Macaca mulatta: one gene and its partners. The protein of the gene in region 5 purifies or fractionates together with the protein of the main gene of each other region. This does not show direct contact. Links are inferred from orthologs where the notes say so. Each region holds a gene or a part of one and is shown on either strand. Other genes may lie near its edges.

What was found.
Region 1: the proteins of IFI16 (region 5) and TRIM21 purify together in Homo sapiens (affinity purification with western blotting; 3 studies listed by BioGRID, with this or other methods). This does not show direct contact. The link is inferred for Macaca mulatta from reciprocal best matches to the Homo sapiens genes IFI16 and TRIM21.
Region 2: the proteins of IFI16 (region 5) and PUM3 purify together in Homo sapiens (affinity purification with mass spectrometry; 3 studies listed by BioGRID and IntAct, with this or other methods). This does not show direct contact. The link is inferred for Macaca mulatta from reciprocal best matches to the Homo sapiens genes IFI16 and PUM3.
Region 3: the proteins of IFI16 (region 5) and EXOSC6 purify together in Homo sapiens (affinity purification with mass spectrometry; 3 studies listed by BioGRID and IntAct, with this or other methods). This does not show direct contact. The link is inferred for Macaca mulatta from reciprocal best matches to the Homo sapiens genes IFI16 and EXOSC6.
Region 4: the proteins of IFI16 (region 5) and WDR12 purify together in Homo sapiens (affinity purification with mass spectrometry; 3 studies listed by BioGRID and IntAct, with this or other methods). This does not show direct contact. The link is inferred for Macaca mulatta from reciprocal best matches to the Homo sapiens genes IFI16 and WDR12.
Region 6: the proteins of IFI16 (region 5) and TBL3 purify together in Homo sapiens (affinity purification with mass spectrometry; 3 studies listed by BioGRID and IntAct, with this or other methods). This does not show direct contact. The link is inferred for Macaca mulatta from reciprocal best matches to the Homo sapiens genes IFI16 and TBL3.
Region 7: the proteins of IFI16 (region 5) and EXOSC10 purify together in Homo sapiens (affinity purification with mass spectrometry; 3 studies listed by BioGRID and IntAct, with this or other methods). This does not show direct contact. The link is inferred for Macaca mulatta from reciprocal best matches to the Homo sapiens genes IFI16 and EXOSC10.

Annotation. Positions count from the first base shown.
Region 1 is NC_133419.1:71,426,933-71,430,875, reverse strand, and holds the start of TRIM21 (E3 ubiquitin-protein ligase TRIM21), read right to left. Parts: upstream 2,801-3,943; 5' UTR 2,791-2,800; intron 1-2,790. UniProt on the Homo sapiens protein: E3 ubiquitin-protein ligase whose activity is dependent on E2 enzymes, UBE2D1, UBE2D2, UBE2E1 and UBE2E2.
Region 2 is NC_133420.1:96,642,571-96,646,070, reverse strand, and holds part of PUM3 (pumilio homolog 3), read right to left. Parts: intron 1,546-3,500; coding exon 1,403-1,545; intron 762-1,402; coding exon 539-761; intron 1-538. UniProt on the Homo sapiens protein: Inhibits the poly(ADP-ribosyl)ation activity of PARP1 and the degradation of PARP1 by CASP3 following genotoxic stress. Binds to double-stranded RNA or DNA without sequence specificity. Involved in development of the eye and of primordial germ cells.
Region 3 is NC_133425.1:69,619,055-69,623,154, reverse strand, and holds the start of EXOSC6 (exosome complex component MTR3), read right to left. Parts: upstream 2,801-4,100; 5' UTR 2,001-2,800; coding exon 1,182-2,000; 3' UTR 1-1,181. Other genes in the region: AARS1 (alanine--tRNA ligase, cytoplasmic), read right to left, coding at 2,832-3,017, 3,360-3,473, 3,806-3,892, 4,013-4,100. UniProt on the Homo sapiens protein: Non-catalytic component of the RNA exosome complex which has 3'->5' exoribonuclease activity and participates in a multitude of cellular RNA processing and degradation events.
Region 4 is NC_133417.1:108,101,113-108,104,612, reverse strand, and holds part of WDR12 (ribosome biogenesis protein WDR12), read left to right. Parts: intron 1-1,230; coding exon 1,231-1,385; intron 1,386-3,138; coding exon 3,139-3,184; intron 3,185-3,500.
Region 5 is NC_133406.1:107,905,289-107,908,788, forward strand, and holds part of IFI16 (gamma-interferon-inducible protein 16), read right to left. Parts: intron 2,993-3,500; coding exon 2,825-2,992; intron 1,420-2,824; coding exon 997-1,419; intron 1-996.
Region 6 is NC_133425.1:3,197,554-3,199,732, reverse strand, and holds the end of TBL3 (transducin beta-like protein 3), read right to left. Parts: coding exon 2,156-2,179; intron 2,083-2,155; coding exon 2,012-2,082; intron 1,925-2,011; coding exon 1,768-1,924; intron 1,697-1,767; coding exon 1,638-1,696; intron 1,494-1,637; coding exon 1,390-1,493; intron 1,305-1,389; coding exon 1,233-1,304; intron 1,141-1,232; coding exon 982-1,140; intron 901-981; coding exon 767-900; 3' UTR 501-766; downstream 1-500. Other genes in the region: NOXO1 (NADPH oxidase organizer 1), read left to right, coding at 1-25, 99-402. UniProt on the Homo sapiens protein: Part of the small subunit (SSU) processome, first precursor of the small eukaryotic ribosomal subunit.
Region 7 is NC_133406.1:229,624,351-229,628,547, reverse strand, and holds the start of EXOSC10 (exosome complex component 10), read right to left. Parts: upstream 2,801-4,197; 5' UTR 2,781-2,800; coding exon 2,670-2,780; intron 1,141-2,669; coding exon 1,004-1,140; exon of another isoform or gene 978-1,003; intron 1-977. UniProt on the Homo sapiens protein: Catalytic component of the RNA exosome complex which has 3'->5' exoribonuclease activity and participates in a multitude of cellular RNA processing and degradation events.

The DNA of each region.
Region 1 (3,943 bases), on a different chromosome or scaffold from region 5:
GTTGTGGGAGGTAATTAAATCATGGGGGTGGGTAGGTTTTTCCCATGCTGTTCTTGTGATAGTGAATGTCTCATGAGATTTGATGGTTTTATAAAGGGCAGTTCTCCTGCACATTCTCTCTTGCCTGCTGCCATGTACAATGTGCCTTTGCTCCTTCTTTGCCTTCCATCATGATTGTGAGACTTCTACAACCATATGGAACTGTGAGTCCATTAAACCTTTTTTTTTTCCTTATAAGTTACCCAGTCTTAGGTATGTCTTTATTAGCAGTGTGAGAACAGACTAACACAGGAACAAAGTTTTAGTTTTAGTTTTTTCTTATTTATGTGAACAGGATTAAGATATAATTGGCATAAAAAATGGGTTGTAAAGATAGTATTTGAAGCCTCATGGTACTTTCAAACCAAAATCCTACAATAGATACACAAAAAACAATAAATTAGTCATATTACCAGAGGAAAAAAAATTCCTGGCCAGGCATGGTAGCTCATGGCTGTAATCCTAGCACTGTGAGAGGCCAAGGTGGGTGGATCACCTGAGGTCAGGAATTCGAGACCAGCCTGGCCAACATGGTGAAACCCTATGTCTAGTAAAAATACAAAAGTAGCCAGGCGTGGTGGCAGGCACCTGTAATCCCAGCTACTTGGGAGGCTGAGGTGGGAGAACTGCTTGAACCTGTAAAGCAGAGTTTGCAGTGAGCCAAGATCATGCCACTGCACTCCAGCCTGGACAACAGAGCAAGACTCCACCTCAAAAAAAAAAAATTACCTTCACTAAAGTGAGACAGGAAGGAAAGGAGGAAGAGAAGACTGTACAACAAGAAAACAGCAAGATGGAGTTACGTCCTTACTTATCAGTAGCATTAAACATAAATGGACTAAACTCTCTAGTCAAAAGAGTGGCTGAATGGATGATAAAAACAAGACCTAGTGATCTGTCGCCTAGAAGAAACACTTCATCTATAAAGACAGACTGAAAATACAGAGATGAAGAGAAATATTCCATGCCAATAGATACCAAAAAAGAATGAGAATAGTTACATCAGACAAAGTAGATTAAGATGAAAACTAAGAGGCAAAGGTTGCTATGTAATGATAAGGAGGTCAAGTTGTGCAAGAGGTTACAACAATTTTAAATATATATGCACCCAACACTGAAGGACTCAGATACATAGAGCAAATATTAGAGCTAAAGAAGGTAGGCCCCAATACAATAATAGCTGGAGACTTCACCCCACTTTCAGCATTGGACAAATCTTCCAGACAGAAAAAGAAATACTGGACTCGATCTGCACTATAGACCAAATGGACCTAATAGAGAACATTTAGAGAACATTTTGTGCAGTTACTACAAAATACACATTCTTTTCCTCAGCACATGGATTATTCCAGGATAGACCGTATGTTAGGTTACAAAACAGGTGCTAACACATTCAAAAAGTTGAAATAATGTTGTGATAGTTAACAAATGTCAACTTGATTGTATTGAAGGATGCAAAGTATTGTTCCTGGGTGTGTCTGTGAGGGTGTTGCTGAAGGAGATTAACATTTGAGTCAGTGGACTTGGAAAGGCAGAACCACTCTCAATGTGAGTGGGCACCATCTAATCAACTGCCAGTGTGGCTAGAATAAAGCAGACTTGCTGAGTCTTCCAGATATTATCTTTCTCCTGTGCTTCTTCCTGCCCTCAAACATCAGACTCCAAGTTCTTCAGCTTTTGGACTCTTAGACTTACACCAGTGATTTACTAGGGACCTTCAGCCACAGACTGAAGACTGTACTGTCAGTTTCCCTCCTTTTAAGGTTTGGGGACTTGGACTGGTTTCCTTGATCCTCAGCTTGCAGACAGTCTATTGTGGGACTTCACCTTGTGATCATGTGAGTTAATACTCCTTAATAGACTCCCTTTCATATAGACACCTATCCTACTAGTTCTGTCTCTCTAGAGAACCCTGACCAGTACAAATGTCAAGCATCTTCTCTGACAGCAGTGAACTAAAACTATAAGTTAATAATAAGAATTTTGGAAACTATACAACTACATGGAAATTAAACAATACACTCCTGAATGACCAGTGGTCAACGAAAAAATTAAATTGAAAAGTTTCTTGAAACAAATAGAAACAACATACCAAAATTCACAGGATATAGTGAAAGCAGCAAGAGGGAAGTTTATAGATGTAACTGCATACATCAAAAAAGATGAAAAACTTTTAAAAAAAATCTAATGATGTATCCGATTAATAGCCAGAATAAAGAGCTCAAACTCTATATGAAATAAAACCTAGTAATCTGAACCAAAAAAGGGCAAAATATTTGAATAGACATTTCTCAAAAGATGACATACAAATGGCAAACAGGCATGAAAAGGCATTAAACATTACTGATCAGAGCAATGAAAATCAAAACTATAAATCTCATCCCAGTTAAAATGTCTTATATAAAAAAGACAGGCACTAACAAATGCTGGCGAGGATGTCAAGAAAAGAGAACCCTCATTCACTGTTGATGGAAATGTAAATTAGTACAGCCATTCTGGAGAACAGTTTGGAGGTTCTTCAAAAAACTAAAAATAGAGCTACCATATGGTCCAGCAATCCACTGCTGGGTATATAGTTGATGTAATTTTGCTGTGTCTCCACCCAAATCTCATCTTGATTTGTAATCCCCACATGTTGGGGAAGAATCTAGTGGGAGGCAGTTGGATCATGAGGGCAGTTTCCCTCATGCTGTTCTCATGATAATGAGGGAGTTCTCATGAAATCTGATGATTTAAAAGCATTTGGCAATTCCCCCTGCTTGCTGTTCTTCTGCTGCTTTGTGAAGAAGGTGCCTGCTTCCCCCTTGCCTTCTGCCATAAGTTTCCTGAGACCTCCCCAGCCACGCAGAACTTTAAATCGATTAAACTTCTTTCCTTTATAAATTACTCAGTCTCAGGTATTCTTTATGGTAGTGTGAAAATGGACTAATACAATATCTAAAAGAAATGATATCAGTATATTGAAGAAATTTTTTTATTCGCATTTTTCTTGAAGCACTGTTCACAATAGCAAAGATTTAGAAGCAACCTAAGTGTCCATCAACAGATGAATAAAATAAATGTGGCACATATAAATGAATAGTGGTCCATTGTGTATAAGAATGAGATCCTGTCATTTGCAACAACATAGATGGAAATGAAAATGTTAAGTGAAGTAGCACAGGCACAGAAAAACAAATATTGTATGTTCTTAATTATCTGTGGCATTGGGAAGGTTACAGGAGGGGTAAGGTGGGGATGGTGAATGGGTAAAAAAATAGAATGAATAAAATCTATTATTTAATAGCACAACAGGGTGACGAGTTAACAATAATGTTACAGCACATTTCAAAGTAACTAAGTAATTGAATTGTTTAACACAAAGGATAAATGCTTGAGGGATTGGATACCCCACTCTCCATGATGTGAGTGTTATGTATTGCATATCTGTATCAAAACATCTTATTTACCTCATTAAAATGTACCTACTATGTACACACAAAAATTAAAAATTAAAAGAATTAACCTGGAATAGCTATATCAACTACAGTCAAAGCAAACTCCAGAGAAAGCAATATTATTATGCATAAAAGGGAATGTATGATAATGATGTCAAGTCTATGAAAAGACGAATTTTTAGTGTGTATGTACCCACAATAGATCAAGATATGTGAGGCAAAAAACTGAACTGAAAGAAATAGGTAAATCCATTATTAAAGGTTGAGATTAATGCCTTTCTCCATCAGTAATGCATCCAGCAGATAAGGGTATGGGGAAAAAATAGAAAAGCCAGTTAACACTGAACATATTTTAACCAACAGTATTCAATCGAAATGCACACAATATATTTAAACAGTAGAATATACATTCTTTAAGTAAACCAAGTAGAATATTCACCAAGTAGACCACACTTTGGGCCGTAAAT
Region 2 (3,500 bases), on a different chromosome or scaffold from region 5:
TAAGTACACCTGACTACCTAAGGGGATTATCTGATGAGCAGCTCAAGAAAGCATCTCTTCAGCTCAACCTTACTCCTTTTCAAGAGCAATAGCGATCGTTCCCAGTTACTTGGGTTTCTCCTTAGCAAGTATGGGAGGCAACCAGCTCAGTCTCCTTATAGCGAAACTTTCAAGCTGCATTCATCTTTCCCCTTTGTTAATATGGTCAGGAGGAGCCAGGGCTTCTCTAAGATCTCTTCTCTTCCCCAATCTTCTCTTCCCCAATCTCAGGTGTCAGAAGCACCTTGGGCATTCAACACTTGGCAATGATTTCATTCATAACCAAATACACGTCTGCAAAACATTCCCAAGTGCCAGGCTTTGACCCAGATGGTTAGAGAAAATTAAAGATGAATGTAATTGCTGCTGTGGGAGGTTCTTTGTTGTTATTCAACAGGCATCTCCCTCCCCAGTTTTCTTACTGACACCCCGCATCCTCCAAAAATGAAGTTTTTGTGGCCTTTGCAGCTTTCCTGCCTGGCCTTTAACGGCATATTACCTCTCCGTCCTTGCCACCAGGATGCAGTTCTGTTGCTGCCAAGCTGGCGATGGCATTCATGGCAGGCTGAGCGTCTCCGGTGGCAGATCCCAGAATGTCAGACACCAACACACACGCAGACTTATCTAGCACCACTTCTCGGGCGTGTTCTTGCAGGTAGCTTAACAAAGCTGGAGAAATGGATTCTAGGAGCTCCCGTCTGCGGACCTCTGTATCTTTCTTACTGTTGAATATGTTGAATGGGGTATTAGGGTAAGATAAATCGCAAAGGAAATGTGATCTTATTATCACAAAAACCTCTAAGAGCTTATCACAGACTGTATCACACTCTATTATTATTGTCTATCTTTCTGTTAAGCACGTAGACAGTGAGTGATTTGAGTATGTGTTCTATCTGTTTTTAAAAATATTTCTGTCCCGCGATCTGAATAATGCCTGCCACAGAACAAGCGCTCAATAAAGGGAGTCTGGCTTGTGTAATACCAAAAAAAAAAAATCCAAAAACCAAACAACATACCCACAAAACAACACATTTACACTGCCGTATGGACACCATACTCTAGGTAGTCAAATACGTGGTATCGGTAGCTTTGAAAAGAAAGCAAAACAAAAATCAAACCACACACCTGAATGCCTACTACGTGCCAAGGGCTCAGAGGTATTCTTTTGGCATGACACTTTTGTTTCCTTTTCAAGATAAAAGCTTTAAGAATCTGTCAAAAATACAGGCGTGACAATGGAATTCACCTTTTCAGCAATTTTAGAGAGAGGCGTAAGTGGATTTCTGGACGCATGCACTATTCAACATTAGCAGACAACCAGAGCAGAGGAATAAAGAAGTCAAGCCATTCTACTTGTTTTTACCTGTGTGCATTTCCATCTCCTTTTTGCAGAACTTCAATGATTTCTCGTACTGTATGTGCAGGATCTCTGGGGCTTAGTAAGTACAACAGGACCTTCCTTCCATATTTGTCATTTACTATGCTAGGCAACGAACTGATAATTTCCTATAACATTATAAACAAAAAGAAGAATCAATATCTGCATTCTTAAAAAAGTACCACAGGACCTTCCTTCCATATTTGTCATTTACTGTGCTAAACAAGGAACTGATAATTTCCTATAAAATTATAGTGTATGTGCCGCCGAAGTGAGCACAATGTCCTATAAAATTATAAACAACAACAACAAAAAGAATTGATATCTACAGTCTTAAAGTATGCCTGGAATTTCAATGGTGAAGGACATACTTAACTATTTTTCCCAGCGTACTTCATGGAAAATGTGGAGCTAGTTCTGAAATTGTCTCATTAAAGCACACAGAGATTTACACTTAGAACACAGAATCAATTCTCTTTTGTGACTAGCATTACTGAACAACTCATTTATATTAACTGACCAAGCCCAAGGACTTAAAAAATATTTAAAGGTGTTATCTTCATTCATTATGGCCAGTATTTCTTGGGCCACTATTACGAGGGACATCACTTGCTGAGGTCACTGAGTAGAGACAGTTAATTTGCAGCTGCATTTAAATGTAGCATCGGCATGAATGAAGAACATTTCTATTAGAATTTCCCTGCTGGGATGTATGTGAAAGGAGATAAAGAAACTCTGTTAAATCGAACAAGTGGATAAAGGCTTTTAAAGTTAGGTTGCTTATTCATGGCAAATGAAGGCTGTTTAGCTACCACAATGAAAAACAAAAACAGAGGAGGAGGGGAAACCAAATCCAGAAAGCCTCAACTAAGCAGTTACAAATTTACACTGTATGACATTTCCAATCAACATACCCAAGAACAGTAACCTCCTTTTCTAGTTGTTCGAATTTAAGGGACAAAAGCAATGTCATCCCCACCCTAACTAAACTCCTGTGTAAATCTGATGTTTTCAAAGACAGAGAAGTCACTTGAAAATTTTTAAAAATTCCTTTATTCTTAATAGAGAAGATGCAACAGAAGAGTCATCAATTTGTTTCCCCACCTCTGACACTCCTATTTCTTGTAACAAACTTTACAAGTATTCAATGCATGTTTGAGCACCCCATATTCTTTAGAACTGGCTGGGCCTCGGAAAGAGTTCTGTCCAACTGGCCAGGTTTACAGATGAGGCATCCAGAAAGAGGAGAGGACCTGCCAGAGGACTCACAGTGGCAGTGTCCTGGTTCTCCAACTCCAAATCCAGTCTCTTTCAAACATAAAACCTCCTCTTAAGGAAAGGGATTCTCTCTGAGAGGACACATTCAGATCTGCTCTTCTTAAAAGGGCCTATTTATTATGATGAGATTAGCAATTTCAGTGTAAGGAACCGAGCTCAAAATCAAGTCAGCCATCAACCATGGGACCATGAATCTCGCTGTGTCATGATCCTACAGCTGATGATGCTGCTCCAGGTTCCAAACACCATGTTTCTCTTTTTAAAATCCCAACCTTCCCTCATTTTTTGCACAAAAGTATAGCATGCTTCTGATAACAGTAGCTAACCCTCATTAAGTGCTTACTAGGAGTCAAGCACTACTGAGAGCTGCGCACTGATCATCTAACATAATCTTCTGACCACTACGTCCTGTTTCTAGCAGTCTGATCCTCATTATGCTCTCCTAATTACTTCTGAAGTCTAAGATCACAGTATAAAGATTTCCATGTAAAACATAAAAGTTTTCAGAGAACTGAAAATTCAATAGGTCTAACCACCTCAAAATGAATATATAATTTCAAGCACCCAGGGAAAATGAACATAAAATTTCAGTAATAAATGGGAAAACACACACACACAAAATACACAGAACTTGTTACAAGGTAGGGAACTCTTTCAAGGCAAACAAGCTCCAATGTGAATTTAATCTATGTTTTTTTTTTTTGAGACGGAATCTCACTGTTGTCCAGGCTGGAGTGCAGTGGCGCGATCTTGGCTCACTGCCACCTCTGCCTCCTGGGTTCAAGCAATTCTCCTGCCCCAGCCT
Region 3 (4,100 bases), on a different chromosome or scaffold from region 5:
TGCCCTCTGCGGTGCTGCTCAGGGTCTTCCTTGTAGGACCAGGGTGCCACTTCTCATCAGCCGTGGAGGCTCGGGTTGTGCCATTCTGCACATGGCCAAGGACAGATGGCTTCTACCCAGAGCAAAACCCTTTTCAGCTACCCAGCACCAAGCCAGGTTGGGGCACGAGGTGCACTCAGCGCACTTCTGGGGCCGTACTTTTTTTCCTGAGACGGAGTCTTGCTCTTGTTGCCCAGGCTGGAGTGCAATGGTGCGATCTCCACTCACCGCAACCTCCACCTCCCGGGTTCAAGCGATTCTCCTGCCTCAGCCTCCCGAGTAGCTAAGATTACAGGCATATGCCACCATTATTAGTGCTGGCTAATTTTGTATTTTTAGTAGAGACGGGGTTTCTCCATGTTGGTCAGGCTGATCTCGAACTTCCGACCTCAGGTGATCTCCCTGCCTTGGCCTCCCAAAGTGCTGGGATTACAGGTGTGAGCCGCCGCGCCCGGCCAACTCTCCCTACTCTCGTCGTATCTCAGCAGTTCCCCTAACTCTGGTTCGTGTGGGTGCAGCTGCTCTCCAAATCACAGCGCTCCCATCAGGCTCTGGAGCTCTTTTCAGCCCGTCTCTCCTGTTCACGTGGGCCTAAGGAACAGAACCCGTTTAAGGCAATGCCGCCGCGACCCTTGACACCTGGGATGCAAGAACAAAAGAGCCTTGCTCTCTTAAATCCCGGACCAAGAAGAACCACACCATAAGACGTTTTTCAAATATAAAAGGGTCTTTCTTTTGGCTCAGACACAGAAGGCACAGTCGTCTTGTCCATCCTCTGAAAAGTCGCCCAGTTATATCGGAGGGGGTCACTGGCTGGCCTGAATGACAGCAGCTCTAGGTACCAGCTTCCAGGTAAGTCCAGCTAAAGTTTCCAACTTGGGAGTCAGGATGCGCTCACAGGTTTCCTCAACTGGGTCGAAGCTAAGAGCCGGCTCAAGTAAAGTTCCTTTAACGAGGTTTGTAAAAACCCTTTCCAACACCACAGCTGTCCGGCGCCTTGGCTCTGCTAGGGCCTACCCAGGTGCTCTCCAGGGCTCCGGCTGCTTATCTCGACGCAGGCTGGAGGCCGACGGCGCGGGTCTTTTCGGGGACGGCGGCAGCACGGTCCTCGGCTTGCGTCCGTCGTTGCTCAGGCTTCTAGTTCAGGGCTGGGCGGCGGCGCCCCTGCGGCGCGCCGCCCGCACCAGGCTCTGCTGCAGCACGGGGTAGAGGCGCTGGCAGCCCTCGAGGCCCAGGCGTACGGCCTCCGCCCAGCTCTCGATCAGGCCGCCCTCGCCGCTGCCCAGCAGCCCGGCCACCTGATTCAGCACAGGCATGAGCGCCACGGTGAGGCCGGCGGCGGCGCGCTCTTCCTCTAGCCGCGTGGGGTCCAGCAGCCAAGTGGGCGCGGGCCCCGGCGCGAGGCTCAGGCCACAGCCCACCACCAGATCGTACATCTCAACGCCCGCGTCGGCCAGGGCGAGCGCGGCGGCGGTGAGCGCGGCGGCCAGGGCCGAGCCGCCGTCCTCCAGCAGCAACGCCGACACCTCGAGTTGCGCGCGCGGGTAGCGGCCCAGGCGCACGGCCGGCTCCAGTGCCTCCTGCAGCGCCAGCGCCAGCTCACGCTCCTCGCCGCCGCCCGGGGGAGCGCGGCGCCGGCGGCCCGCGAAGGGCGCGCGGCGGAAGTCGCACAGCAGGCGACCGCGCAGCGCGGCCGGGGCTTCGCCGCCAGATCCGGCCGGGCCGCCGCCGCGCTCGCCTCCCTCGGCCTGTCGCGGGCCCGACACTGCACACAGCACCTTTGTGCCTCCCGCCTCCAGGTAGGCCGAGCCTTTGGCCTGGCTCAGCAGCCCGGCGCGCGCATACACGGGCCGCAGTCGCGTTGGGTCGCGGGCGGCGGGCGCCTCCTCCTCGTCGGCCGCGTACAGCTGCGGCGGCTGCGACTCTTCAGGGCCGCGGATGCGGCGGTGGTCCCCGGGCATGGCGGCTCCTGGCGTGAGAGCCGCTTCCGCCCAACGCACTGCCGCACCCACTGGTTCTTCCGTTGCTTAAAGACGCGCGCCTGCGTGAGGGTTGTCGGGAGAGTGACGGGCGGCGCTACAGCGCCTGCTGGAGGCTCGGAGGGAGAACGGCCGGCGTCCCTGGCGCCCTGGTCCCACTTGTGCAGGGCTGCCTGATCCATCCCTCCTGCTGGAAGGGAGCGGGAGAGCAGCTCCAAGGCTTCTCTGCTTCCACTAACCCCACCCATCTACTGAATTATGAACGCCTTGCTCCATGTCACCCTATTTGGCCTCAACCTCCACAAACGTTTGAGGCAACCCCAGGGGCTTTTCCCAAAATTTAGGGTTCTGGGGCTGGACTAGGTGAACACTACAGCAGCCAGTATAAGCCACAGCATTTATTCTACAGACAGCAGGGGCCAAGGGCTGTCAAAACAGCGAGCTCCACCTGGGAAGAGGGATAGAGATCATATAGCATTAAGTATTGCACGTGGTCCTTTTATTCTCTGCAGCAAAAAACGATTCGTCCTTGCTGACGCGGAAAGCTCAGGCTGGAAAGCTGTTATCTACAGATGCGAGTGTGGTGATCAACAGCAATGCGGGGGTAGTGGTTCTCGACAGATGGCACTGACGTGGAGGGCTCAGGGCAGAAGTATAAGGGGCGCTGAGTCACAGGACTGCTCGTGAGGGTATTCCAGGTACAGCCGGGGTAGGAGGGGCTCTCAAAAGGTCCCAGGATTCAAATGTTCTTGTAGCAGATCAAGAGCTCCCGGCTGGACGGATGGAGCCAGTAGAAGCCACCTCCTCCCCCGCTCAGTTCTTTACATCCCCGAGGCGCAGCTGGGCGAAGGAAGTGGCCAGCTGCAGCGCCTCCTGCAGGCAGCCAATGTTTTTGCCTGTGGCCTGTGCAGACACATCCTTGCCCCCACCTTTACCGTCCATCAGGCCTGACACCTGCTGTACCCACTCGCTGGCTTTTAAGCCCCGATTGGCTGCATTCTAGAAGAAAGAAAGGGAAGGGGGAAGTCAGGACAGAAAATGGGATTGAGGGAGGAGCCATCACCCACTCCTTTGCCCTGGGTGATACTGCTGGAGGCAGAGACAGACTTTACGGCTAGTGCAGGGGGCAGTCATGGCCCCTGCCAGGACAGGACAGAGTGGCAAAGCCAAGTATCAACCAGACAGATGCAACCAGTGAGGAGGCCTGGGTAAGAGGTACTGGCAAAGGTGACCAACAGGCAGGCAGGAGACAGGCTCTTTTAAATGCAGGTTGTACACACACAGGCCTCAGCAAACAAGCTTAAGACCCAACACTTCCCACTGGTGCAAGGTGGTTCTGACCTGAGGGACTTGACACAGGCAAGTGATCTTGCCAGCCTCGTTGTCCACTGTGAAGAGCATGGCAGACGTCTGAGGGGAGTGTGTCTTGAAGAGCTTCAAGGCTTCATTCAGGGCCTGTGGGGAGGACCTGGCTCAGACCATGGTGCTGGAGCAGGGACCCTCACTAGTGTGAGCAGTTGCAGCCCTCAGAAGGACCGCCACCCACCCCCACCCCTTCCCAGAGCAGATGTAGTCCTCAGGGCCTGGGTGGAGGACCCCAGTGTAGGGCCCTGCCCACACCCTGGCCCAGGTGTGCCTCCCACATGCAGGGAGCTGCTGCTCCTCCCAACCTTAATCCCAGACAGTGGGCCCTTAGGCAACCACTTGGCTCAGAGCCACAGAGGTCACATATCAGCCACCAAAGGGCTGATGTGCCCCAGGGGAGGGGGCCCCGGCCCCTGGGTTGCCTTGGCTGAGGCACCGCTCTCCATCTCCAGGATGACGAGGGGCTGGTTGGGGTTGCTGTCGATAAGCTGCTTTGTCTTCTCTAACACCTGCAAGAAAAAAGTCCAGAAGAGCAGCTCAGACCAAAAGCACAAGCCGCAAACCCCTGGCTGTATCCTGCCGGCCTTTGCCTAGGAAACACTCTGGCCACCGGTGCTGCCCGGACTCACTCGTTTCTGGACATCGGCTTTGCTGGCTCGGTCTAGGTCATCCATGACCTTCTTTAGGGATTTGAGAGTCTCCCGCAATTCGTCCTTC
Region 4 (3,500 bases), on a different chromosome or scaffold from region 5:
GTCTTTCAAAAAATATAGTGTTCAAGAAGAAAAAGATTATATAAAAATTCATAAATTGTTAGAAGTGAATATTTATTAAAATTGCATCAGATAATATACATTTTCAAGTTAATTTTTTTTTTTTTTTTTTTTTTTTGAGACGGAGTCTCGCTCTGTCGCCCAGGCTGGAGTGCAGTGGCCAGATCTCAGCTCACTGCAAGCTCCGCCTCCCGGGTTCCCACCATTCTCCTGCCTCAGCCTCCCGAGTAGCTGGGACCACAGGCGCCGCCACCTCGCCCGGCTAATTTTTTGTGTTTTTAGTAGAGACGGGGTTTCGCCGTGTTAGCCAGGATGGTCTCGATCTCCTGACCTTGTGATCCGCCCGTCTCGGCCTCCCAAAGTGCTGGGATTACAGGCTTGAGCCACCGCGCCTGGCCTCAAGTTAATATTGAGTGTATTACATTCATCTATTTTCTTCTTGTTTGTTTGTTTTGAGATGGAGTCTCGCTCTGTCACCCAGGCTAGCATGCAGTGGCATGATCTCGGCTCACTGCAACCTCCGCCTCCCAGGATCAAGCGGTTCTCCTGCCTCAGCCTCCCGAGTAGCTGGGACTACAGGCGCCTACCACCACGCCCGGCTAATTTTTGTATTTTTAGTAGAGATGGGGTTTCACCATGTTGGCCAGGCTGGTCTCAAACTCCTGACCTCGTGATCCACCCGCCTCAGCTTCCCAAAGTGCTGGGACAGGCTTGAGCCACCGCGCCTGGCCTGTTTGTTTTTTGAGGCAGAGTCTCACTCTGTCACGCAGACTAGAGTGCAGTGGCTCAATCTCAACTCACTGCAACTTCCACCTCCCAGGTTCAAGCAGTTCTCCTGCCTCAGCCTCCTGAGTGGGTGGGATTACAGGCGCCTGCCCCCACACCCACCTAATTTTTGTATTTTTACTAGAGACAGGGTTTTGCCATGTTGGCCAGGCTGATCTCAAACTCCTGACCTTAAGTGATCCGCCTGTCTTGGCCTCCCAAAGTGCCAGTATTAGAGGCGTGAGCCACCACACCCAGCCATCATCTTCTATTTTTAAAAAATCTTTTCTTTATACCATATCAGCCTTTTAAAACCTGGCCATATATGAGTTATCTTTTTAACATCTTTTTCAATAACAAAAAAATTTAGTTCTTCGGTTTCAGAACATGATGTATTCTAAATGGTGTACTGATTTGTTTCTTATTCTTGTGTTCTCCTTTCTTCAGATAGTTTGTCCTGCTTATTATTGAGTGCTTCTATGGATCAGACTATTCTTTTATGGGAGTGGAATGTAGAGAGAAACAAAGTGAAAGCCCTACACTGCTGTAGAGGTCATGCTGGAAGTGTAGATTCTGTAGCTGTTGATGGCTCAGGAACTAAAGTAAGTAGCTGGAATGTAATTAGTACTGTGTTAAATTAGTATTGGAGCTTGTTCCTAAACATTTTTTTCTACATATATTCATTGTGTTGGCCTAGTTTCCTAACAATCGGTGACAAAAGATAGGATTTCAAAGCAAGAGTAAATACTCATACAGTAGGAGATAGTCAGTTGCTCAGTTTGAATATCCCTGGTTTAGAACCTTATATAAACTTCAGAAATTTTAAGAAATGAGGTGGCCGGGCGCGGTGGCTCAAGCCTGTAATCCCAGCACTTTGGGAGGCCGAGACGGGCGGATCACGAGGTCAGGAGTTCGAGACCATCCTGGCTAACATGGTGAAACCCCGTCTCTACTAAAAAATACAAAAAACTAGCCGGGCGAGGTGGTGGGCGCCTGTAGTCCCGGCTACTCGGGAGGCTGAGGCAGGAGAATGGCGTAAAAACCCGGGAGGCGGAGCTTGCAGTGAGCTGAGATCCGGCCACTGCACTCCACCCTGGGCGACATAGCGAGACTCCGTCTCAAAAAAAAAAAAAAAAAAAAAAGAAATGAGGTATGGGCCGGGCGCAGTGGCTCACGCCTGTAATCCCAGCACTTTGGGAGGCTGAGGTGGACAGATCACCTGAGGTCACCTGAGGTCAGGATGGTTCGAGACCAGCCTGACCCACATGGAGAAACCCTGTCTCTACTAAAAAAAAATAAAAAATAAGCCGGGCATGGTGGCACATGCCTGTAATCCCAGCTACTCGGGAGGCTGAGGTAGAAAAATCACTTGAACCTGGGAGGCGGAAGTTGCAGTGAGCCGAGATTGCGCCATTGCACTCCATCCTGGGCAACAAGAATGAAACTCAGTCTCAAAAAAAAAAATAAAGAAAAAAGAAATGAAGTAAACAAGCCATTCATTTATATAACTTTCTTACCTCATAGTAATTGACATATTTCCAGTCTATATCAGCTACTCTTAAGTGCTGCCATCAACTGAAAATGGCTCGTTGATCATCTGAGCGTTAGCATACACTAAAGTTAGTGCTAATAGAGTTTTACTATAGTACCTATCTACTCTTTATCATGATAAAATGGTAATAGTTAAAAGGTAACAAAACTGAGGGCAATACCATATTGATTTATTAATATGAAGGGTTATAAATCCACTTGCAATTTGAAAGTTTCCTAAGCCACATTGAAGTTTTCTGGACTTAAGAGTGTTTCTTTGACAGTTAGGATAACAGGATGCTTGTATTCAAAGGTGAAGATTTATGATTTTTCATATTGAACCAAAAGTTTATATGTTGTTTAGTCCAAACTTTAGTGAATTAACTGTACCCCTTCTTTTTGGTTAAGGAGAGATAGAAACTCAGCTTGAACTTATTTAACCTTAAAAGTAAATGGACTGTGAGATCCCAGGAAAGATTGAACAACCACATCACAAGAAGGGTAATGGTGCATTTGGGCCTCAGGAACCAGTGGAATAGAGGCTTGAATGTGGTCCGCACACCCTCTCGCTCTCTTGTCCCTCAAGTTGACTTTATTCTCTCTCACTTCAGATTGGCTTTCTTCAAAAGACATGGCAATAAGCCTGGCCTTCAAGATTTCCCAGATTTTATGTCCTGTCCTATTTGCCCTTGGAAAAGGCTAATTTCAACTCTCTGGAACACAAGTTCTTTGAAAAGGTCCTGAATGAGGAAGAGACCTACTGGTATAGGCAAATAATATGAATCATATTACATATGTCTTTTCCCTTCATATACATCTGTTTAGTTTTGCAGTGGCTCCTGGGATAAAATGCTAAAGATCTGGTCTACAGGTAAATTAAATATTTATTTTACTTTGACTTATTAATGTTGTTTCAAAAATTTAAGTTCAGAGGCCATGTGGTGGCTCACGCCTGTTATCTCAGCACTATGGGAAGCCAGGGTAGAAGGATCACCTGAGGCCACAAGTTCAAGAACAGCCTAGGCCACGTAGTGAGAACCTGTCTCTACTAAAAGTGGAAAATTAAAATTAGCCATGTGTGGTGGTATGCACCTGTAGTCCTAGCTCCTTGGGAGGCTGAGGTAAGGGGATTGTTTGAGCCTAGGAGTTTGAGGTTTCAGCGAGCTATGATATCATGCCACTGCACT
Region 5 (3,500 bases):
TGGTGAAACCTCGTCTCTACTAAAAATACAAAAAATTAGCCAGGCGTAGTGGCAGACACCTATAGTCCCAGCTACTCAGGAGGCTGAGGCAGGAGAATAGCTTGAATCCAGGAGGCGAAGGTGCAGTGAGCCGAGATCGCGCCACTGCACTACAACCTGGGCGACAGAGCGAGACTCCGTCTCAAAAAATGAACAAAAAGAGTATGTACAGAAAGTAATGCAGGTTACATGGCTTGTTCTAGGAAACAAATATAATGGATAGTGAATATTGATCAGACAAGAAATTGCTTGAATCAATAGCAGAGGATAGATGCTTTTTTTGGGGGGTTGAATGTCTCATGCTAACTAGTTTCATGAATTTGGACTGGAACATATCAGGAAAAGCACTCTGTGCTCTATTTTTTTGGTTACTTATATATAAATGACAAATTTAGATTACCTGATTTTCCAAGTATCATCCAAATTCATATTTCCCAATTGATTCATTTCATTTGGTCAGAACATTGTCCTACCTACTTTCTGCATTTGTTTTCCAGCCATGAGTAGTCAGTTGATTTCTTATTCTGACTGTCACAACCAGAACTCAAGCCTCAGAGGACAATACTTCATTCAAAATAAAAACAATGTGATTTTTACAACAGTAGAATAACAACCAAAGGGATAAACTTAGTGTTACATGTGTATGGATGTAGACCTCACACTGTCCTTGATCACTTAGCATAGATAATAACAACTGATAAAGTCTTAAGGTTTCTCAGTGAACATTACCGTAAAGACCTAAGTTTAATGTTCTGGGATGGAGAACATGGGAAAGAAACATTAACAGGTCCCCTAATCCCAGTCTTATCTTCAGAGAAGTTTTTATCCACCTGCCATTAGTCTTCAGAGTCCTGGATTCCAATATCCAGTTTATAGGCAAAGCTTCATCTCACACATCAAGGCTTTTAATTTTAGGTGTTGGTGGAAAAATGAAACAAAAAAATTTTGAGGACTTACCTTATGTAGCATAAATATCCCATATATAATATTTCCTGAAGCTTGTTTGTGAAGAATATCAGTCTTCAGAGTTTCCTTTGCTCTGTTGATGATTTTATTTGGAACCTCAAACATTTGGTTAGGACCAGCTTCAGATACAGAAGATTCTTCGTTGACCTCTAGGAGACTATCATATTCCAAATAATCTGATATGACGATGATTTTCTTTCCATTGAATTTCTCCTTCAAGTTGGTGTTTAAAACCTTCACATGGAAGAACTGTGTCTGTGTAGCCACTGTAGCATGAAACATTGTTTTTTTCTCCATTTCTGGGGTCTCGTATTCAAATGGCTTCGTTGTACTCAGTACCTTCACTATCACTGGGCCCTTTTGGAGAATATTTTTTCTGGGAGTTACCGGACATTTGGCCACTGTTTTCGGGTTCTGTGTATGATAGCACAGGAGAACAAAGAAAAATGTCTGATTGAGAAATACAGAACTGCTATTCAGTGACCTCAGTATAACATAGGGCCCCAAAACTTGCACGGATGTTTAGAGCTGGAGTCAGGATAGACAGGGATTGCTAGCCAGGGCAGAAGATACCTTAAACTGGTATAATAGCAAGAGGAAGTAATAGAGGAGACCATATAGTGAAAAGATGACCTTTCTCTAAACAGAATCATCCTTAAGAAATAAAGCATAAGAGCAACATAAGACCAGTGGATACTGAAAGCCAGTGTCATGAAGTAACTTAAAATAAATTTTAGGGCCAGGCGCGGTGGCTCATACCTATAATCCCAGCACTTTGGAAGGCCGAGGCGGGTGGATCACCTGAGTTCAGGAGTTCGAGACCAGCCTGGCCAAAATGGTGAAACCGTGGCTCTACTAAAAGTACAAAAATTAGCCAGGTGTGGCAGGCGCTTGTAATCCCAGCAACCCGGGAGGTGGAGGCTGCAGGGAGCCGAGATCGTGCCACAGCACTTCAGCCTGGGTGACAGAGCGAGACTCTGTCTCAACAACAACAACAGTAAATAGATAAATAATACATTTTAGAATGAAATAATTTCTTATACTATTTCTCTTACCAGCTTAAAGTGCCAGAGCCTAAAAATAGACAAAGTTAAATGACACTTAAAATGAAAAATGGTGCCCACCACAAACTACAGACGTGAAGAGTGTTCAGTTATCAACAGTGCAGACAGGGCAATTTTAAGAGCACATCTCGTAGTGTTTCTACCCAAGATTCAGCTGGCTTACAGGGGGTGAGAACACATGTGCGATCAACCCCTCAGAATGCCGTCATCTCAGTAGGCTCAGACTGGAGACGCTCTGCGGAGTGTCATTCCCACTACCATTGCCTTTCTCAGTGTCAGGGCTCTAGCAGGTAGCATGCTAACAGAAACCTGGGGCTCAGAGTGGGTTTTCTTTAACGTATTTTCTCTTTAACATCTCAGTCTCCTTGAATTGCAATAGAACACTTTTAATGCAGGGGGGTTGTTTATAAGAAAAAGTGCTGAAGGTATGGATAACCTCATTCACAAACTAACAGGTGCTGGAGAGGTCTGACATGGAATACAGTAGACAGCGAGCCCACAGCTGACAGTTCTGTACTCCACAGCTCTCTCTCCCTTCCCCAAACAACACAGAACAGAAAACTTCCCGCAGTCAGAGATAATGTCAAGTTCATCAAGTATCCCTGTGGAAGCAAAAGATCAAAATGTAGTGTTTTCTCAATACGTACATTTGATTAACTAGCAAATTATGAACGCAATTTTTAAGTAACAGATGAAATCAGTCCTTTACTTTGGGTTGAAAAAAACAAAGCGAAACGGGACCAGGAAGAGTGTACCTCAGCTGAGGAAGTGTTGGGTGGAGCTGATGATGAGGTCTTGGGAGGTGGGGAATGGCCCACGGCTGCGGACAAGCCGGCTCCTGCAGGACAAGGAGGCTGAGTCTGCTCCTCGGACATCTTACTCCCTTTCGTTCCAGCCTTCTCTTTGGTTGGTTTTTTTCTTTTCTGCAAGTGGTTTGATTTTTCTGTTATTCGTTTTCAGTGCCAATTGAAGTAAAGCACATTTTCGTTATTGGATAGTAGTTTTATTATTCCTAAGATGTTTCTTAGAAACTTGAGAGCTTGCTGCCCATCTCTGGTCAGTTGTAAGAGGTGGGCATAGATGGTTTCATTAAACGAAGAAAGCGGAGAATGTTATACACATTATTTCTCTAATTATTTCTGTTATGGGATGTGTTGACTTGGGATTAGAAAAAGTAGGTTTTTATACACATGGACGAAGTATTTACTTACCTGACTGTCGTGTTGACACTCCACTCTACTAGAATGAAGGTATCACATTTATGTTATATATATTTACATTATGTTTACTCATGTGTTTGGCTCATTGCTTTGATTATCAAAAAGATGTTAAGTTATCATACAATATGGTAAATCTGAAACTTGATGGGAAGCATGAAGAAATAACTGCCTACTGGAGAAGTTGAGTGGAAGAGCCGTAGCAGAGCTTCCT
Region 6 (2,179 bases), on a different chromosome or scaffold from region 5:
CAGACCGCGGCTGGTGGCTGTGCAGGTACGCGAGCGGGCGTGGGCGGGGGAGGCTAGCCGAGGCCGGCGGGGCCCTAACCACACCCCGCCCCTCGCAGGTATGGCGACCGGGAGGGCCTCCTCCCCGCGGTGCTGTTGCGACCGGAAGGGCTGGGCGCACTCCTGAGCGGGACGGGATTCCGTGGAGGAGACGACCCGGCCGGTGAGGCCCGGGGCTCCCGGGAAGCCTCCCAGGCCACCGCCCCTCCCCCCACCGTGCCCACCCGACCTTCGGCGGGCGCCATCCAGAGCCGCTGCTGCACCGTCACACGCAGGGCCCTGGAGCGGCGCCCAGGGCGCCAGGGCCCGTCTCGAGGGTGCGTGGACCCTGTGCCTGTGCCGCACCCTACTACGGAGCGGTGAGCGCCAGAATCCCGATGCGGGGATGGACCGCGCCATCCCAGGGCTGAGGAGGAGCGGGGAGGGCGGATCTCCCTGGCCAGCAGGACGGGAGGCGGGTATTTGCTGTTCCTCTGAGTAAAGCTTGTTCTGAATGACCCCCACCGTCTAAGCGTGCGGAGCCGCGGGCTGGATCTCTGCCATGCCAGGGTGCGGGATGGGCTTGGTAAGGCGGAGACCATCAGCTCCAGTGCCCTTCTGGCTGGCTAGGTAGGGTGTTGGCCAGGGTAGGGGCTGGACTGGAGTCCAGAGAGATAGGGCCGGCTAGGAAAGCGGCATTTATGGGTTTTCCAGGGGTTCAGGATGGACTGGAGAGAGACCGGACCGGCTAGGGGAGCGCTTCTTTATGGGTTTCCCAGGGTGTGGGGGTGGCCGCCAGCACAGGCAGCTTCATGTTGTGCCACAGGAAGTCCAAGAAAGCGGCGGCCTGGAGTGTCCTGCTGAGCCGCTGAAAGTGCCGCTCTGGGGTTGGACAAGAAGGAGGTCAGGGGGGTGGTCCACACGCCCCCCAGGATCCCCCAACCCCAGGCTGTGCCCACGTACCAGTGTAGGGCAGCAGGGCCTCAAGCGCTGCCCGCACGCCTTCGTAGGCCAGCAGCTCCTCGGGGGCCTCGCGCCGCAGGAGCACACCCAGCACGGCCTGGGCTTCGTGGCAGTGCCGCGAGTTGGTGTTCCACGTGACACAGAAGCGCAGCAGGGCCTCTGTGGGCAACAGGACCCTCATCCTCTTGCCCAGTCAATCTGCCATGACTGGCCCTTGCCCGCCGGGCCACCCACCCTGACCGGCCCCCAACCTTTCTGGTCTCGCCGCAGTCGGAGCATGGTGGCTTCCAGCTTCTCGCAGGCCTCAGGGTCTCTCCGGATGGCTGTGGGAGGAGGGAAGGCTGAGCTGGGGAAAGCAGAGCCCAGTGGTCCGTAGACCCAGCCTCTTGCCCCTGGGTGAGCACTGACCCTGGATGACAGTCAGCACGGTGTGGGGCCGATCCAGGGAGATGGCCAGGCCCAGTGCTCGCAGGTACCGCTTCTCATGCAGCAGGTTGTCCAGCTCTTGCTGCCTGCGGGGAGGGGAAGAGAGGCCACTGAGGGCCGCTGGCAGAGCCATCGGAGTCAGCAGGCAGCAAGCCTGGTGCTCAGCCTCAGTTTCCCTACAGCACAGAGCAGTGTTGATGCCGGGAGGGGCGCCACTGCCCTGGTCTTACCTGACCACCTGCTCCTCTTGCCTGGCCTGCTCCTCTGCCTGCTCCGCCTCGGTCACATCCTGGGGTCAGACTGGGGTCAGATGGGGCCTCCACTCCACCCCGACTCTTCCCTGCCCTTGGGGCCCACAACCTTCCAGAGGATGACTCGGGAGTCGCTGGCCCCAGTGAGGGCGCGGTCATCCAGCCGGCTGCAGTGCAGCCCCCAGACCTTGTCCTCGTGGGCATCCAGCGTCCGCACACACTCGTTGTTCTTGATGGTCCAGAGCTTCACGAGGCCATCCGAGCCGCTGGGTTTGGGGTGGGGAGAGGCTCAGCGTCAGGCAGGTCACCCCGCCATCCCCCACCCCATCGCTGCCCTGCCCCAGACCACTCACCTGGACAGCAGCTGTGTGCCACGGCTCACAAAGGCCACCTTCAGCACAGAAGCATCGTGCCCCTCGAATGTCTGCAAAGAGGAGGGGGTAGGGCATGAGATGTCACCAGGGCGAGAGGTGGGGAGGGCCTGGATCGCCGCTTACCTTAAGACAGCTGAAGTCCTGGAG
Region 7 (4,197 bases), about 120 Mb from region 5:
CAAAAAAAAAAAAAAAATTAAAATTAAAAAATAAATAAATAAATAAATAAATAAAAGAAATACCTGCTACTCTACAAGTTGTGTGAAATAATCTTGGATCTGGCTAGGCACGGTGGCTCATGCCTGTAATCCCAGCACTTTGGGAGGCTGAGGTGGGTGGATCATGAGGTCAGGAGATCAAGACCAGCCTGGCTAACATGGTGAAACCCCATCTCTACTAAAATAACAAAAAATTAGCTGGGTGTGGTGGCGGACGCCTGTAGTCCCAGCTATTCGGGAGGCTGAGGCAGGAGAATGGTGTGAACCCAGGAGGTGGAGCTTGCCGTGAGCCGAGATCGTGCCCTTGCACTCCAGCCTGGGTGACAGAGTGAGACTCCATCTCAAAAAAAAGAAAAAAAAAAAAAAAAGAAAGAAAGAAAGAAAGAAAGAATGAATCTTGGATCTAAGTGTTCAATTCCCACATTAATTAAAAAAAGATCTGTACAAAAGTCAATTTTTTTTTGTTTTTTGTTTTTTTGAGACAGAGTCTCGCTCTGTTGCCCAGGCTGGAGTGCAGTGGCGGGATCTCAGCTCACTGCAAGCTCCACCTCCCAGGTTTACGCCATTCTCCTGCCTCAGCCTCCTGAGTAGCTGGGACTACAGGCACCCGCCACCTCGCCCGGCTAGTTTTTTGTATTTTTTAGTAGAGAGGGGGTTTCACCGTGTTAGCCAGGATGGTCTCGATCTCCTGAGCTCGTGATCTGCCCGTCTCGGCCTCCCAAAGTGCTGGGATTACAGTCAATGTATTTTTTAAGTACAAAAGTCAATACATTTTTAAAAAGCTAAACTAAAAATATACTAAGTAATATTTCCCTAATCAAAATCCATTGCTTCAATTTTCATATTTTATGGCTCTTCATACCACAGAAAATGTTTAAGGAAAAATAAATTTCAGGAAAAATTTATCGACCTCTTTGTTTTCATTTCTTTTCATTAACATAAGAAAACAAAATATAGTACTTACCACTGAAGCAACCTGTCTCCCTGTGTTTCACAAAATGCTTGGAAACCAGGAAAACTTCGGTAAAAATCATACTCATCGCCAAACTGTGGTAGGCCCCCAGATGCCTTGGTGACTGCCACCACGGATCCAAGAGCAAACTGTCCAAAACAAGAAAAGATGGCATGTTTTACACATGGATCCCCATTCATTTGATATATCATTTTTATGATCTACTGTATACAAGGTATCTACTCTTCATCCATCAAAAAAGTACTCATTTAGTGCCAAACCCCAATCTAATCTAGGCCCTAAGAATACAAGCATGAACGGGAAACCAAGTTTGGAGCTTACATTCTTGGGAGAGTTGAGAGACAGAACAAACACATACATATATAATCTAATATTCACAAAAACCTGGGGTTGAATCTTGACTCTGCTATGTATTAACTGAGATCCTGGGCAAGTGATTTCTTTAATTTGGACTTTAGTGTTCTCCTCTGAAAAACAGGAAAAATAAAAAGGGCCTACACCACAGAGTTTTTGTGAGGACAGAATGAATAAGCTAATAAAAGCACTTAGGACAGTTCTTGGCACATAAGTGTTATTATTATGACTCAAGTTCAGATCAGGAATGTGTTTTTGTGTTTTCATCTGGATGAGCATCTAAAAACAATACAACCTTATCCTAGATCCTTGGACGACAAAGTTGTAACAGCTACTATCTAAAACTGGATTTGTGTTTATTGTTCAGTTAGTGTCAAGTGGTTCTCTATTTTAGCTGTTGTGAGATAACGAAACAAAACTGTGAAGTGACATAAATGATGGTTGATCATGTGAAGGCCAAATAAACATTTCCCAAGAAAAAAGCAGAGAAAGGAGGTGGGAAATTAAGTCATGGAGGGGCACATGGTAGCTTATGAGCATGACTGCCACACAACCAAGACCACAGTTAGTGGTCCAGGAATTAATGAGAGCCATGTTAATGAATCAACAGCATTAGCTAATGGCAAATTAGATACATACAACGTGAGTGGAATTTCTGTAAATTTATAGGGCTAATTTACAAATTATTTTAGTTTCATGGCTTTGTAAGAGCTATGCACAGTTTAAGCCTAGTTGTACGTTTGTTCACATTTAAGCTAAGTTATACAAAGATCTTAAGTGAACGCTCTGTGTGTCTTTCAGGAGTTACTGACAGAAGTGCAATGGGGCTTTAACAGGTGACATTTAACTCAGGGTTAAAAATTATGTAGGATTGGACTTCAGGAACAGAGGAAGAGAAGAAGGGCCATCCTGGTCGCGGGAGGGGACAACTCCAGGCAAGTGTGCGGAGTGCGAAGCAGCCGAGACCCTGAGGAGAACTGGTCGGGTGGCTAGGGCGTGGCGGGGGCGAAGTCGCAAGGGCTAGGGACGTCTGGGTGGCAAGGAAGCCTTTCCCAGGATGCAAGATGGGTTTCCACATTTGGGCCTACATGGACTTAAGCTGGCAAGCGGGACGCCCCTCAGTGTCCGTTTCTGAGGCCCCATCCCCGGAGGATGCAGGAGTCTGCGCCCAGCGCGGACAGGGGCCCCGCGACCCTCGCTCGGGATCTACTGCGGCGGGCGGGCATTGGCTGCCCAGAGGGCCCGGGTCGGCTTCCGGCGGCCGCGGGCGACTCCTGGTACCCCCAAGGCCCCGCGAACTCACCTTCACAAAGCTGTCGGCGTCCGGGAAGCCTGGCAGTACCATCTCCCCGTCGGGTTTGGTCGTGCTGGTAGCCGACTGGACCCTGGGCTCGCGGGTACTGGGCGGCGCCATTTTTTCGGCCAGCACAGCTTGTCTCGCGAGAGCGTCTCGGTCGACGCGACGCGACGTGTGCGCACCACGCATGCGCCAGGTCGAAGCGGCGGGCGGGGCGCCTGCGATTGGGGTGGCACTTCTGAGCGCTGTAGCATGAATTTCACGTTCTTTTACCTCATGTTGTATTATCCCAACAACCCTGTGATCTAGGGTGCGGCCTGGAGGACCTGATTTATCACATATATTTTTGACACGAGGTCTCGCTATGTTTGTTGAACCTGGTTTCGAACTCTTGGACTCAAGAGATCTTCTCACCTTAGCCTGCGAAGTAGCTGGGACCCCAGGCGAGGGCCGCGAGCCCCGCTTACCCTCGTGTTTATTTAAAAACCGGGATTACCGGGCGTGGTGGCTCGCATCTGTAGTCCCAGCTGCTCCGGAGGCTGAGGTGGGATGGTTGCTCAAGCCGAGGAGGTGGAGGTTCCACTGCACTCCAGCTGGGGTGACAGGGTGAAACCCTGTCTCAAAAATTTCTTTTTAAAGTTACGTTTTTGAGGCTGGGCGCGGTGACTCACGCCTGTAATCCCAGCACTTTGGGAGGTTGAGGCGGGTGGATCACCTGAGGTCAGGGGTTCGAGACCAGCCTGGCCAACATGGTGAAACCCCGTCTCTACTAACAGTACAAAAATTAGCCGGGCGTGGTGGCATAGGCCTGTAATCCCAGCTACTCGGTGGTTACAGTGAGCCGAGATCAAACCACTGCATTCCAGCCTGGGCAACAGAGTGAGACTGTATCACAAACAAAATTATGTTTTTGAAACAAAGTCTCACTCTGTTGGTCTTCCAAAGTGCTGGGATTACAGGTATGAGCCATCAGCGTGCAGCCTAGTTTTATTTTTATTTTTTTTTTGAGATGGAGTCTCGCTCTGTTGCCTAGGCTGGAGTGCGGTGGCACAATCTCGGCTCACTGCAACCTCCCGCCTCCCGGGTTTAAGGAATTCTCTTGCTTCAGCCTCCTGAGTAGCTGGGATTACAGGCATGCGCCATCACGCTCGGCTAATTTTTTTTTGTATTTTTAGTAGAAACGGGGTTTCACTATATTGACCAGGCTGGTCTCGAACTCCTGACCTTGTGATCCTCCCACCTCGGCCTCTCAGAGTGCTGGGATTACAGGTGTGACCCACCGCACCTGGCCTGTTTTTTTTTTTTTTCTAGACAGTCTCACTCTGCTGCACAGGCTGGAGTGCAGTGGTGCAATCTCGGCTCACTGCAACCTCCGCTTCCTGGGTTCAAGTAGCTGGGATTACAGGTGAGTGCCACAACGCCAGGCTAAATTTTTTTTGTATTTTTAGTAGAGATGGGGTTTCACCATGTTGGCCAGGCTGGTCTCGAAATCCTGACCTTGTGATCCTCCCGCCTCGGCCTCCCAAAGTGCTGG